Linked DNA regions of Tamandua tetradactyla. The protein of the gene in region 1 binds, or shares a complex with, the protein of each later gene. Links are inferred from orthologs where the notes say so. Each region holds a gene or a part of one and is shown in the gene's direction. Other genes may lie near its edges.

Evidence for each region.
Region 2: POLR2F (region 1) and ERCC2 share a complex: the UniProt entries of both Homo sapiens proteins name them as parts of the TBP-based Pol II pre-initiation complex. The link is inferred for Tamandua tetradactyla from reciprocal best matches to the Homo sapiens genes POLR2F and ERCC2.

Annotation. Positions count from the first base shown.
Region 1 is NC_135333.1:30,297,818-30,305,490, forward strand, and holds the start of POLR2F (DNA-directed RNA polymerases I, II, and III subunit RPABC2), read left to right. Parts: upstream 1-4,615; 5' UTR 4,616-4,728; coding exon 4,729-4,748; intron 4,749-7,225; coding exon 7,226-7,295; intron 7,296-7,673. Other genes in the region: C7H22orf23 (UPF0193 protein EVG1), read right to left, coding at 1-182, 3,281-3,343, 3,988-4,099, 4,290-4,316. UniProt on the Homo sapiens protein: DNA-dependent RNA polymerase catalyzes the transcription of DNA into RNA using the four ribonucleoside triphosphates as substrates.
Region 2 is NC_135342.1:15,626,401-15,633,799, forward strand, and holds the start of ERCC2 (general transcription and DNA repair factor IIH helicase subunit XPD), read left to right. Parts: upstream 1-4,380; 5' UTR 4,381-4,508; coding exon 4,509-4,513; exon of another isoform or gene 4,514-4,588; intron 4,589-4,800; coding exon 4,801-4,900; intron 4,901-5,860; coding exon 5,861-5,938; intron 5,939-6,012; coding exon 6,013-6,075; intron 6,076-6,228; coding exon 6,229-6,342; intron 6,343-7,399. UniProt on the Homo sapiens protein: ATP-dependent 5'-3' DNA helicase. Component of the general transcription and DNA repair factor IIH (TFIIH) core complex, not absolutely essential for minimal transcription in vitro.

The DNA of each region.
Region 1 (7,673 bases):
GATGGCTTGAGGTTTGAATTGCTCCCGGCTGTAGGCCCCGTTGGCTTGGCACACATTGGCAGGCCGGAGGTGAGGCCGGGCCGTCAGGATGGGAGGCAGGTGGATGGCAGAGGCTGGTGGCTTGGGTGGCAATGCCCTCTGGCTGGATGTTGGGCTGCATTGCAGGGGCAGAGTGTCTCCTCCTGGGGAAGGGAGGGCCAGGGTGGGGGCTCACCTGGCTAGTTGTTGTTGTTGTTGTTTTTTTAATCATAAAAGTGACAGCTGTTTATTATAGCAATATCCCTTTCCCCCTCCAACCCCACCCCCCACAATGAGCATTAGTTATAATTTGCTGGTCCCTTGCCCTGCTTTTGGAGTATGTTCAAAGACAGATGCGCACATATATGATTTTTTTTCAAACACTTGATCATACTTCAGTATTCAGGAATAGACTCTTCACTTAATAATTAATAATGGACATCTTTCTAGATCAATCCATTTATATATGTAACATAGTTTTATAGTAAATAAATATACTTTATTTTTATAGTATATTAGTCCTTAAAATGAGCATATTATTTATTCAACTAGTCTCTTAGTTTCAGAAATTCAGGTTGCTTTTAGTTTTTTCTTTTTTCTACTTCAAACAATGCAGCAATAAACACCCTTGTACATCAAGCCTTTGTACCGATGCTTTTATTCTATAGGAGGGAATCCTCAAACCTGCTGGGGGCAAGAGCAGAGAGGGACAGTTTGGGTGGTAGTGGACACCTGTCCCTCCTGCGGTCCATCCTTTGGTGCAGCCTAGAAAACCACATCACCTCCTCTGGTTGATTGTCCCTCCTCTCAGTCATTCTAAAGCCCAGCTTAGAGCATGCCCTACCCACTGCTATGATCTGGCCCCTGTTGATACTTCCCAGCCTTCTATCATCCCATCAGCAAATAAGCATTAAGTACCCACTGTGTGCCAAGCCCTGGATACTGGGGATAGAATTTAAGATAAGGCCCTGTTCTCACAGGGCTTATGTTTGGGCTGGGAGCGGAGATGATAGTAAAATAAGTAAAATACGTAGTTGGTTAGATGATGACAGTGCAGGGATGGAGCACAGGGTCTATAACAGTGAATTCCATGATTCCAAACAGGGTAGTCAGGGAAGGCTTCATGAAGGAGGTGACATTTGAGAAAATAGCTGAGACTGGTGAGGAGGCCAACTAGGCCAGTAACCTGGGAAAGAGCATTCCAGGCATAGGAAACAGGCCTTGAGGTGGGAGGGGTCTGGGAGCTTTGGGGAACACACAGGAGGCCAGGTACCAGGGGTGGAGTGAGCATGGGGGGTTGGGGAGGTGAAGGGAGTCATAATGAGAGCAGAGGTTAGGGACTCATGGAGGGCCCCAGATTGCAGGGCTTTGTTGGCATCTGGAGGTACTGGCTTTTGCTTGATATGAGACAGGAAGCCCATGGGAGGATTTTGAGCACAGAAGTGACATGATCCCTTCAGCTGCTGTTGAAAATAGAGTATAGAGGGCCAAGGGAAGAGGAAAGAGGTCAGTTCTAAGGTTAATGATGTCATAATGGGGTGAGACGATGGGGACCTGGGCCAGGTGCTAGCAGCGGAGTTGGGGACAAGTAGTTAAAGTCAGGATATAGTTTGAAGATTAAGAAGATGGATTGCTGATGGATTGGGTATGGATGTGGGATAAAGAAAGGAATTAAGGATGATTCCAAGGCATCTGTCCCAAGCAACTGGAGGATGGAGCTGCCATTATTTCCCACAAATCATCCCTTTTTATGCCATCTACCTAAAGCCACACCATGAATTAATCTCTTTTCTCTAAAGAGATGCTGGGTTTCTCAGAATGTACCTCTCATTCTCTCCACTTCCTGTCCACTCTTAACTCTGTCAAGAGTTAGCTCAAATACTACTTCTTCCTTTGGACCTTTCTCAGCAAATAATTCTGGGAGTTCAGGTGAAGCAAAGGTATTTATGGCTTGCAAAAGAATTTGAGCTAAGCTTCAAACATTGAATAAGATTTGGTTCACAGGAAAGAAGTAGAGAAGAAATTCCAAAAGAAAACTGAGACTCAACACCAAGGCTTGGAAGCAATTTTTTTGTTAGTTTGTTTTAAGGAAAATTTCTTAATGAGAATAAAACTGCCAGGCAAATCAATTACTCATGTGGGCCTAATCATTGAAACAATTCAGCTGTTCAATAAATACTGAGTTCGTGTTCTAGGAGCAGCTCTATAGTGGTGAACAAGCAGACCAGTCTTTGGACTTGAGGTATTTATTTTTGGTGGAATTTCTAGCACATTCTCTTTGCAGTCATGTGACAGGGGACACCAAATTCTTAGTAGACTGTTGAGTATGGAGATAGAGTTATGTGATTCAAACTTGTGATGGCACCAGGCTCTGGTAGCCTGAGTTGTCCTTGACCACAACAAGGAAGTGATTCTGATCCCTGAACTGGTCTGACAGAGCCTCCCTCCCTCTCACAGTCAGTGATGGACGGACACTGTCAATATCTGCCTCTCTGACTCTTCCTCCCATGCAGGTCTGTGGTTGATCAAATGCCCTCCATACAGGTACATTCCTATTTTAGGGAAGCCAGTAACTTTGGGCAGACTCAAGGAAAGCCCAACAGACTTGGGCCTCTTGGCATTCTGCCTTTAAAAGGCAACTGTGCAGGCCTCTATTCTGACTCATTAAATGCTGACTCAGAGGACAAGGTTATTTTCAAGGGGGTACCTTGTTATGCTACCCGTGTACTGCCTTTAATTCTTCCGCTTTTATTCTATTCTTAAAAGCAAATAACAATGTTTAGCAAGAGATGAGCCATAGAAAGGTTTTCTGTGTTCTAAGTTTGAATTTAGCCAATCATCTTGTTTCCACTAGCCAAGCTATGAATGAATAAAACTACAAACAAAGCACACGCACAGTCCTTTCCTCTGGAGAGCTCATATGGTATGTGTGTAATGGGGAGGGACAGACTGCAGACATGACTGTGTTGAGACTATTCTGGTTGGGCACAAAGTCCCTATTGGGCTGTGATCCCTTGGGAAGGTCAGGCAGAGCCAGACTTCAGGAGAATTTTCATAATGCCAGGAATCATGTCCAGAGAAGGGGCAAAGGCCCGACAGAGTCACTTCTTCAGAGCCAAGGTGCAGAAATACTATTCTTTTTTTTTTTTTTTTGGCTTTTGTTTTTAAACGAGGTCTCTCCATATGCTTCAATATGAAGGGACATTTAAAAAATGTGTACCAGAATCCCCCTGCCTGGAAGCCTCTGTGGACTACTTCTTACTTTTCACAGTGTCCATGATTTGGCGTTGCTGGAAGTTGGTCAGTTTGGATTCCTTCATCATAACTGCAAGAGAAAGCATTTCTATGAGACCTTCTGGGCTGCAGGCAGATGCCTTCATATCACCTTATTTGCATCACCTCCTTCTTTTACCCCCATTCCACACCTGAACAATCCTTTTCTTCCTTCCTTCTTCCTTCCCTGCTTCATTTTTTTTCCCTATAGCACTTATCACCATCTAAGTTCTATATATTTTACTTATTTACTTTATTTATTATTTATTATCCTCCTACTAGGATATTAGGCACAATCCCTGCCCTGATGGAGTAAACAATCTAGAAGGGAAATGGAGATTAATCCAATGGGCACAACTAAATATCCAAGTACAGGTTTCCCTAAGCTAAATGAAGGAAAAGGTATTTCGTAGTGTGAGGGCAAGTAATAGATGTTGCTGGTATGGGTAGGTATGGATTGGAAGGAGACAAGGCTTCCTACGGAGGAGGAGTGTGTGATTTAAAGACTGCACAGTACTTTACTCTAAAATTCTTAACTTTTTGACTTTTGGCCACTTACAAGCTATTGAACCCAGAACCTCTCTGAACCCCACGCTCTCATCTTTAAAATTAAGATAGCTATTACTAAGGCACAGATCATATAGGGGAGAACTGAGTTACTGAGGGCAACTGTTACCACCCCTTTAATGCACTGACCTCTGAGCAGCTCGCAGGTTCCCGGGGTGTATGTGGCCCGTTTAGGGCAACGCCAGAGCCCGATTCCTTTGGTCACTGCCCCCACCCTCTCCTGGGAAGTCATGGATGGTCCCTGAGGAGAGAAAGGTGCAAAGATACATCCCCTGTCTCCCAGGCCACATCCCTGCTTCCCCACGCCCCAATTCCACCTGAATGTGGGAGCCGGGGTCGGGAGTCTGGCCATAGGAGAATAGTGATGCTGCCAGTCAATATCGCGACAGGGCCCAACATCCCAAAACACAGATACATAGTCAGATATGCACACACACGCGCACACAGAGAGTCCTCATCCTGACCAGGCGCCTGTGGCAAGGATGTACCCTTTGGAGGAAGGGAGCTTTAAGATCGCCGTGGTCACAACAGTGCCCATTGGGTGAGGCCAAATTGAAACTTCACCTAATGTGAGGCCCGGCCTGGGTGTCCCCACGGCTCTGTAGCGGCACCCGGCTCCCGTAACCCTCAGGAACACTCCGCGATTCCTCCTATTGGAGCCTGAAGCTAGCGGCTCTTGCTGCCAAGGTAACGAACGCCCACCATCCAGCGCATGCGCATATTTGACTCTCCTGCCTGCCTCCCGGAAGTGATTTCCGCTGGGTCTCAGCGCAGCCGCAGAGTGTGCCGGGCGCCGCGCGAATTGGAGGCTGGGTGCGTGTCGCCGCGCGCGTGTGCGTAGCAGAGTGAGGTCGCTGCAGCCGGGGCAGCATGTCAGATAACGAGGACAAGTGAGTGCGGGAGCGAAGTGAACTTAGGCGGGAGCCTCAGAAGGGGCGGATGAGGCGGGACCGGGTCGGAAGAGGCTGAGAAGCCAGACGTGGAGGGGCTGTGTCTGAGGAGACTGAGGACCTGAGGGGACCGGCGGAACTGGAGAAGGGGAGGCCGGGGAACTGGGGCATAGGCCACGCCACAGGCTAGACACAGAAAGGCCCAGGCTCAAGGGACCAGAGGGGATCAGTGCATAAGGTGCCATTCAACAGACTTCCACAGAGCCAGGCTCTGTATCTTGTACTGGAAATATTGAAATGAATTGGGCATTGTCCCTACCTTAAGGCGCTCACCTTCTAAAGGCAGAAATAGTTCCATAAAAAGCTAATATATATATATATATATAAAAGCTAATATTAGATAAGAGATATTACAAGTAGTTGAAGTATATAGTAGAGAAGTAATTCAGAGGAGGGAAATTTAATTATCTGAGAGAGGCTGGTGAAACTTCAGAGGTTGTGAAGTTACCATGAGTAGGAGAGTAGGGTACAGGTTTGACAGATTTCAGAAAGTAGAATTGACAGGATTTGGTGATGGATAAAATATGAGTGTGAGGGGGAGAAGGGATGTAGGGTTAGCATTTTCTAGATGAATAACTGTGTGGGTAGTTCTTCCAACCATGATGGGGAACCTGGAAGAAGGCACAGGTTGTTATTGTCTTACTTGGGTGTGATGGTGTGGTACTTGAGGTCAAGGATGGTGGTGAAGATTTAAGTGGGGTCATGAAGTTATTTTAAATACGTCATATTGAATTTGGTTGAATTGGTTCATTCAATCAATAAATTTTTGTGTCAGACTCTATTCCAGGAGCTTGGATTATAGAAATGAATGAATTGGGGGAGGGGTGTGCAAAGACAGATGATGCACAATTGGCACAATAAGTAGGTATGTGTATAGTATGGTGGAAAGTTTATGGTATATTAGAAGGTGGTAAGTGTTATAGGAAAATAAAATAGAGGAAAGGGCAAAGCAGTACATCACAGCTTTAAATGGAACGGTCATTTGAGAAAAAGCTTCATGGAGAAGGTGTCATTTGAACAAGAGTAGAAGGTGATGGCATTAGCCTTTGCGAGAGATGGGAGAGTTAGAGCATAGGGTGTTAGGGAGGAGCGTGTCTGGAGTTTCTGAGGAACAGCCAGGAGACCAGAGTAGATCTTGGAAGGGGAGCATGGTAGGGGATGAGGTCAGGGAGGCAGGTGATAGGTTGCCAAATGATGTAAGCGTGTTGCCATTGTTAGGACTTTGGCTTTTACTCTGAGTGAAATGGAGAACCATCGAAGAATTGTGAGTAGAGGAATGATGTGATTTGAGATTTTATAAGGATCATCCTGGTAGCTATGTTGATATACTGTAGAGGGATAAGGACAGAAGCAGGGAGCTTAGTGGGGTTTAATCAAGGTGAGAGAAGGTAGTGGCTTGCACAAGGGAGTTACTAGTAGAGTTGGTATGGTGAGGAGTGGTTGCATTCTAGATGTATTTTGAAGGTAGATCCAGGAACATTTCCTGACGAATTGGATATGTGTGGTGAGAGGAGAGGTCGATTCTGAAGATAAAAATGTGGTTGTCATCAGCATAAGTAAGTTAATCAAAACTAAGAAACAGATGAGCTCACCAGGGAAGTGAGTTCCGTAGGGAAGGAGAGAGGGCCAGAGTGCTGGATCATTCTGACATTGAGTGCTTAGGAGGAAAGAGGAAAAACCACAAAGAAATCTGAGAAGGGGCAGCCTGTGAGGCAGGGCAACACTAAGGCAGGGAAGGTTCTTGAAGTCCAGTGAAGGAGATTGCATGGAGGGGGGAAGAGTTGTCTAGCATGTCTACTGATAGGTCCACTTAAATGAGAATGAGAATTGAATTGCTCTTTGGATTTAGTAATGCAGAAATAGATCATTCATATTTCTAACCACAAAAAGAGTGGTTCTGGGCAGTGCATCAGTGGCTCTGGCAGAATTCTTGCCTGCTGTGCTGGAGACCTGGGTTCGATTCCCGGAGCCTGCCGATGCCAAAAAAAAAAGGGGTCTTGCTGGAACCGGGGTGGGGTCATGAAAGTCATATTGGAATGAGATTGTGTCAGAACAGAAAGAGAAATTGGAGTTAATGAGGATGGATATCCCCTTCAGGAATTTTGCTCCAAAGGAAATAATGGAAATAGGGCTATGGAGGGTAGGGGTGAGGTGGGGGTGTGTGAGAAGAGAGTAAGTTTGGTTTTTAAGATAGGGAAATATCTATATGTTTACATACATACTGTAATGATCCAGCAATGATGAGTGAGACCTAATGGATGGGGAAAGATGGAGGTAGTAAAATCAAACAGAAGTTTGATTTCATTCATTAAGTAGATATTTATTTAGTACCTCCTAGGTATCAAGTAAGACCCATATCTCTGCCCTCTTTGATCACAGTTAAGTGATGCTCTAACTGGCCTCTTTTTCTTGTACAGTTTTGATGGTGATGACTTTGATGATGTGGAGGAGGATGAAGGGCTAGATGACTTGGAGAATGCCGAGGAGGTCAGTATTTAACCTTGGGTTCCCACCTCTGTAGCCCAGGTTGCTGAGCTGGCAGCAGGTAATAATTGGATGCATTTACCTCCTATTGATTGTCAGGGCCCTGCCACAAGCATCCCTGTTTAGAGTGAGTGGTGTTCTAATATGCTGGACCTAGGTGCTGGAAAAGCTCTGGGGGTGGGCCTGAAGGCTTTTGGCTGCTTCGTCTGTAGACCTTAGTGCCTGGGCAGTTAGTGCACTGAAGTGGGGACCTTCCCTTTCATTCAGTCAGCATGCATGCCTTGAATGCTTATTTTGTGCCAGATGCTCTGCAACGTGGGGCTACCTAGTGAGTAAGGGGGAGAGTAGCCTTGGATAAAGGTCCACATCAGACAGGATTTT
Region 2 (7,399 bases), on another chromosome or scaffold:
TTGTGTGCTTGCCCTCATGTCTTTTGAGTAGAGACAGCATATAGATGGGTCCTGTTTTTTATCCATTCTGCCAGACTATGTCTTTTGATTGGGGAGTTTAGTCCATTAACATTCAGTGTTATTACTGCATGGGTAGTACTTTCTTCTACTATTTTGCTTTCTGGATTTTATATGTTATATCTAATTTTCCTTCTTTTTATCTTTACTCATAGTCTTCCTTTCTGCACTCTTCTCCACACCTCTTTCTTCTGTCTTCGTATCTGTCTCTAGTGCTCCCTTTAGTATTTCTTGCAGAGCTGGTCTCTTGGTCACAAATTCTCTCAGTGATTTTTTGCCTGAAAATGTTTTAATTTCTCCCTCATTTTTGAAGGACAGTTTTGCTGGGTATAGAATTCTTGGTTGACAGTTTTTCTCTTTTAAAAATTTAAATATATCATCCGACTGTCTTCTTGCCTCCATGGTTTCTGCTGAGAGATCTATACATAGTCTTATTGGGCTTCCCTTGTACGTGATGGATTGCTTTTCTCTTGCTGCTTTCAAGATTCGCTCCTTCTCTATGACTTCTGACATTCTGGTCAGTAAATGTCTTGGAGTACGTCTATTTGGATCTATTCTCTTTGGGGTATGCTGCACTTCTTGGATCTGTAATTTTAAGTCTTTCGTAAGGGTTGGGACATTTTCAGTGATAATTTCCTCCATTAGTTTTTCTCCTTCTTTCCCCTTCTCTTCTCCTTCTGGGATACCCACAACACGTATATTCATGTGCTTCATATTGTCTTTCAGTTCCCTGAGTCCCTGCTCATATTTTTCCATTTTTCACCATATTTTCTTTTTCTTGCCAGATTTCAGATGTTCTGTCTTCCAGTTCACTAATCCTATGTTCTGTCTCTCAAAATCTACCATTGTAGGTTTCCATCGTTTTTTTCATCTCTTCTTCTGTGCCTTTCATTCCCATAAGTTCTGTGATTTGTTTTTTCAGACTCTCGATTTCTTCTTTTTGTTCATTCCTTGCCTTCTTTATATCCTCCCTCAATTCATTGATTTGGTTTTTGATGAGGTTTTCTATGTCTGTTTGTATATTCTGAATTAATTGTTTCAGCTTCTGTATCTCATTTGAATTGTTGGTTTGTTCCTTTGACTGGGCCATATCTTCACTTTTCCTAGTGTGATTTGTTATTTTTTGCTGGTGTCTAGGCATTTAATTACCTTAATTAGTTTATTCTGGAGATTGCTTTCACTTCTTTACCTAAAGTTTTCTTGCTGGATGAATTTGTTGTCTATCTGTTCTTTGACATTCAGTTCAGCTTTATCTGGACCTCTAGCTTAAGTTTTGTTTAACAGAGGAGAATTTTTAAGCTCTTGTTTTCTTGTTTCTTGCCCTGCTTGTATGGTGCCTCCCCCACACTTAGGAGGGTCTACTTAGGTATTATAGACCCCAGCTGGATTTTCCCAGATCAAACTGGCCTCCTATCAGGAGGAAAGAGTCACCTGCATCAGTTTTCCCTGAGGGTGAGACCCAGCAGGTTGAAAGACTTTCCTGTGAAGTCTCTGGGCTCTGTTTTTCTTATCCTGCCCGGTATGTGGCGCTTGTCTGCCTGCAGGTCCCAACAGCATAAGATGATGTGGTACCTTTAACTTTGGCAGACTCTCCCTGCTGGGGGCATGGTGGGGACACAGGAGAGGTTGTAGGCTGATTTTAATGGCTTCAAATTACCAAGCCCTAGTGTTTGAATTCCTTGAGGGAGGGATTCCACCTGAGTTAGCTTCACCCCTCCCCTGGGGAAGGTACAGGCTCCAGACAAGCTGTCAAACGAGCTTGTTTCTGCTTATGCCTGAGGCAGTTGCAGCCTGATAAGCCCTGCCGCTGTATTCAAAGGCAGTCAAGCCTTTGTAGAAACAAAGCCACAAAAACCTCTGTTTCCTTTTTTCCTCCCTTTTTTTCTTTTTCCATCAGTGCTGCCCCCTTGGCGCCAGGGCAAAAATGAGAGACCTCCGCTTTGACCAGGTTCACCTGAGCTGGGGGCCTATTTTCAGTAGTCAGAATTTGTTAATTAATTCCACAATTGGCGTTTGGTTGGGCTCAGCCCCTGTTTCTGGTCAAGTCCCTTTCCTTTCCCCTCTGGGAAGCAGCCTGTGGGGGAGAGGCACCGGCCGCCATGGCTTGGGGAACTCACGGTTCTGGGGGGGGCTCACAGCCGGCCCAGCTGGTCCAGACTGGGGTACGCTGTGTGTCCGGTCACTGATGTGGCCCCAGGAGCTGTTCTGTACTGTTTCTGGTTATTTAGTAGTTGCTCTGGAGGACGAACTATAACGTGCACATTGTTAAGCCACCATCTTGGCCTGGAAGTCCCACCTTGTCCTTTTAATACATGAAACCACAAGGAACAGCTCTGTGTAGGCAATTGTTCCTATTCAGTGTTCCCCTTGGTTAAAGTTCTCAGTTCTCAGCTTTGGGGTCATGTCACCGATCTTATTAACCGGCTCAAACCCCAGTCCTCTAACTATTATTATGAGTTCTACTGGCTCCTTAGAACCCACTTCGAGAAACTTTACCTTACTTTGAAACTATATTTTCATTCATGTGTTTGTATGATGTTTTGGTTTGCTAAAGCTGCCATTTCTGCAAAATGCCAGAAATGGATTGGCTTTTATAAAGGTGATTTATTAAATTTCGAGTTACAATTCTAAGGCCATGAAAATGTCCAAATTAAGGCACCAACAAGAGGATACCTTCTTGGAGGAGAGGCAGCTGGCATCTGACCTGTCACATAGGAAGGTATATGGCAACATCTGCTGTCCTTCTCTTCGGGCTTCTGGTTTCAAATGGGTCTCTCAGCTTCTGGTGTCTCCTGGGGTGTTTTCCTTCTATTTCTCCAAATATCTGTGTGTTCTCCAAACGTCCCTCTCTTAAAGGACTCCAGTAAGCGGATTAAGACCCACTTTGAATGAGCAGGACCACATCTTCATGGGAACAATCCGATCAAAAGGTCCCACCTAACAATAGATCTGCCCCCACAAGTTTGGATTAGAAGACCGTGTCTTTTCTGGGGTTCATAACGGTTTCAAACCAGGACATATGACATTAACCATTAATGTCATTTGTTAGGGTATCCTTATTCTCACTTTAGAAGTAAACAAACCAAGTTCTTAGAGGAGAACCTGCCCAGTCAGATCAGGTATCACTCCCACCCCATCCCAGTCCTTTGCCCTCAGGATCGTCACTGCCTGGGAATGAGTCTGTCTTCCACACTGGACTGTGAGCCTGGGGCTCTTCGGTCCCTGCTATGTCCTCAGTATCCTCCAGCACGGGGGTAGGGAGGCACAGAGGAGAGGCTCAGGGAGCATGTGTTGATTGAATGAATGAATGAAATGAGGTGATTATTAAGGAAACAGCAACCTTGGTGGGGCCCGCTTTCTCCAGCCTCTGTCTCTCCTGATGAACCTTGTGGTTGTGCCAATGAGACCCCTTTCTCTAATCCTTGCTAAATAGGGAACTGGGGACCTACCCCTCTTCTCTGCCTGAATCAGCTCCAGGAACTCTCATTTCTCCTGTTATAAGCCCTTATGATTTCCTGAATTTTCCTTCATACTTCTTGTCACACTTGTAATCATATATTTATTTGTATGTTTAATATCTGTTCTTTGAGGACAGAAACAGGGGCGTTTTGGGGGTACCTCTGTGTTCTCAGAGTTCAGCACAGGATCTCAGCTCCCATAATGGTTTCTTGAATGGACAAATAAAAGCTAACATTTATTGAATGCTTAGTATGTGCAAAGCCCCATTTTAACGGCTTTATGTGGGTTAATTTAAAGGTCACCTATGTGGTAGATATTCTAATTGTTCCCAGTTTACAATGAGAAAAATAAACCACAGAGAGGTCAAGTAATTTGATCAAGGTCACACAGCTAGCAGATAGCAGAACCAGGATTTGGACCCAGGAGTTCTGGCTCCAGAGACCCACTTTAGCCACAAACTATACTGCTTTTCCATTATTGACTGAATAAAAACACCTAGCTCAGTCTCTGGAGAACAGTAGGCGCTCAATAAATGGGAAGTTATTTATTCCACAGGGGACAAGGACACAGCAGACACTTTATAAATGATACTTATTTCGTGCGGTGAAGCCATTGCGACCTCGCGGGCCCCGGAGGGATTTCCAATTTCACTGTCATTCTCCCGCAGACTCTACTCGCTGTTGGGATAATCAGGGCAGAAGTAGGAAGAACGAAGCCAACTGAATGGGATCGATCCTCTCGGGACTCCTCCTTCCGCGTTTTGTTTTTTGTCTTCGGCGATCCTCAGCGATGCCTGGGAAACCACCTCCCGCCTCAGAGCGGCCCCCCGAAGTGCGCATGCGCATTACCCTCCTGGCGGAGTGGCGTGCGGCATCAGCCAATGCGCTGTGCGGAAGGTGGAGCGGGACCGCTAAGGCGCCCCAGGGACCTTCCCTTCACTGAATATTAATGAAGGAGGCGTGTCGACGACTTTGCAAACCGGAGTCGGCGCCATGAAGTGAGATGGGGGCTGGGGGTCGCGGCGCGTGACGGGCTCCAGGGCTTGAAGTTGGGAGTACCGGTGGGGGTACCGGTGGGCACCCCTGGGCCCCGGTGGAGCGAGGGGGAGGCCGAAGCGGTGGGGTGGGGGTAGCGGCGGGAACCGTCGGGGTGGTGACGGGGATGGCCCGCGAGGAGACGCCGAGGGGCCCCGGAGGCTCCTGTGGAAGTGGACGACGGGGGAGTGTGGGGGCTGGAGGGAGGGCCGGGGGGCCGGGGGCCTGACCCCGCAGCCCTTGCTGTCAGGCTCAACGTGGACGGGCTGCTGGTCTACTTCCCTTACGACTACATATACCCGGAGCAGTTCTCTTACATGCTGGAGCTGAAACGCACGCTGGACGCCAAGGTGTGTGGGCCCGGCCGGCCGATGCCTTTTTGACTGAGATTACGGGACGTCTAGACCAGGAAAACCCCAAAGTTTTCGATATCTGAGGTTCTGGGGAATCAGGACTCTAAAGCCAGCCTCCCAGGCATCTAAACTAATAAGAGCTGGTAATAGCAGCAGCTAACATCAAAGGCTAAACGTCTCCAGCGGTTAGGAATAAATGGACTTTTGAAGTCTGCTGTCTGGATTGGAATCCAGGACTCACAGTCCACCGGCTGTGTGCCCTCAGGCTAGTCACTTAACTTCCCTGTTCCACTGTATCCTCCCCTGTCAGATACCTCATGGGTTGTTGTGATGGTTAAATGAGTTAATAAACAAAAGACAGTGGTTCACAACCAAGGGCAGTTTGCCTCTCTCCTCCTAGGGGACACTTGGTAACGTCTCGTGACATTTCTGGTTGTCACATAGTGGAGGGGCATGTGTGTTACTGGCATCTAGTGGGTAGAGACCAGGGATGTCGCTAAACATCCTAAAATGTGCCTGATAGCAATAGTGACCAAGACTTATCGGGTCCAAAATGTTGACAGTACAAAGGTTGAGAAACTTGGTTGTAAGGAACCATGCCAGACTGTGGAAGCATTTGTAAATTCAGAGAAAAAGGAGGCTCACCCTCTATCAGATATTGTGCTAAAAATTTAACCCATAGATTTTCACGATCTTCTCAGTCATGCTATGAGGAAGGTTTTAGTAGTAGACCCATTTAGAGAAGAGGATATTGATGCCCAGAGAGGTGAAGATACTTGCCTAAAACAATTCAACAAGCAGGTGGCAGAAGTGGGGTTCAAGCCCATTGCCCCTGGGGACCAAACTTTTAACTGCTATGCTGACCTGCAGCTATTCTGGGAGGGTGGTGGCACCCCAAAAGTTGGGTCCCTGAGATTCTGAGAGCCCATGTGTTATTCCTTCCACCCTCAACTTCAGGGTCATGGCGTCCTGGAGATGCCATCAGGCACTGGGAAGACAGTATCCCTGTTAGCCCTGATCATCGCATACCAGCGGGTGAGTGACTCTCTGGGCCCAGGGAAGGGGTGGGGGAGAGGCCATTCGGGGCTGAGGCCACTTGTCATTGGCAGGCATACCCGCTGGAGGTGACCAAACTCATCTACTGCTCGAGGACCGTGCCTGAGATTGAGAAGGTGAGCTGGGGCCTGTCCCAGGGCCCCCTCCTCTACTCCCGGGACTCCCTTGGTCACCAGCCTTGGGGGATTTGGGGGGCTGGGGAAGGAGCTGGGGTCTGGCTATTTAGGCGCTTGTGCTTTCACTGAGGCTGAGTTTTCCTGGCTGAGCAGGTAATCGAAGAGCTGCGTAAACTGCTCAACTTCTATGAGAAGCAGGAGGGCGAGAAGCTGCCATTCTTGGGACTAGCTCTGAGCTCCCGCAAGAACCTGTGTATTCACCCTGAGGTGAGTGTCTGTTCCCCTCTTTTCCCTAAGCCTGGGCTTGGGGCAACTCCTCTTTCCAGCCAGTAGTCCTAGATCCCCAGACCAGATTCCTCAGGTAGGTATGTGGGTCCCCTGCATGGAATCCCTTTGTCACTTGTCAAATGTGAGCTCATTGTTCATGGCCTAGACCAGCAGGGAGCCTTCCCACCTTCTCCCAGTCAGGAGAGGTTAAAAAGGCATCTCCTGGAGGCTGGCAGACCTCATTTCCTAAGCCCTGAAATTTAGTAGTTTTATCCTCTTGTACAAGTGATTTCTACCCTTGGGCCTCAGTTTTCACTTCTGTAAAATGGAAATAATTAAGTACCTGCCTCATTTGATGGTTGATAACACTGGGCAAGATGATACATATAAAGCCCTTAGAATGTACAGAAAGGTAAAAGAATGTTTGAAACTATCATAGTATTTATATCATGGTGATAGCTGACATAAGGTTATTTCGACAACCATTGTGGTCATCATATGCCAGGTCTTGTTCCAAGTCGTTACAAGACATTATTTGTAAGAATATGCAACAAACAATACATATGATGAATGATCATTTAAGAGAAGTAGTCCAGGCATAAGAATGATGAGATGGGAAAGGGAAGGAAGGGGTCAGTGATCTTGGAGTCTTCCCCTTTGATGAATGAAAAGATTTTGTTATTCTGGAAGGAAGCCCGGGGTTGTTAAGGTGCCCCTGACAGAGTCATGGAGAGTTCAGGGCTGTGCAGGGGCAAAGGGGTTCGTAGTCGGGATGCTCAGTCCTTCCCTGCTTCTGCAGACTTGCTAAGGTTCAGGGTTTATAGGTGTTTCAAAGGATAAACAGTTGTAAAGTTCTAAGTTTTTGATGTTCTCCTCAATGTCTACCCCTTAGATTTGTCAAGTCTTTAATGTTTTAAAAATAAGTGTTAAGAGTCTAAAAGCATTACCTGTTAAGAGTAAATAGTTACTTGTTTAGTCTTGACTGTTTAATAGAAAACAGTTTGATGTGTGAGTTTTCCAAAGAACTAGCTAGAGTCTCTGGCTGGTTGGAGGTGGG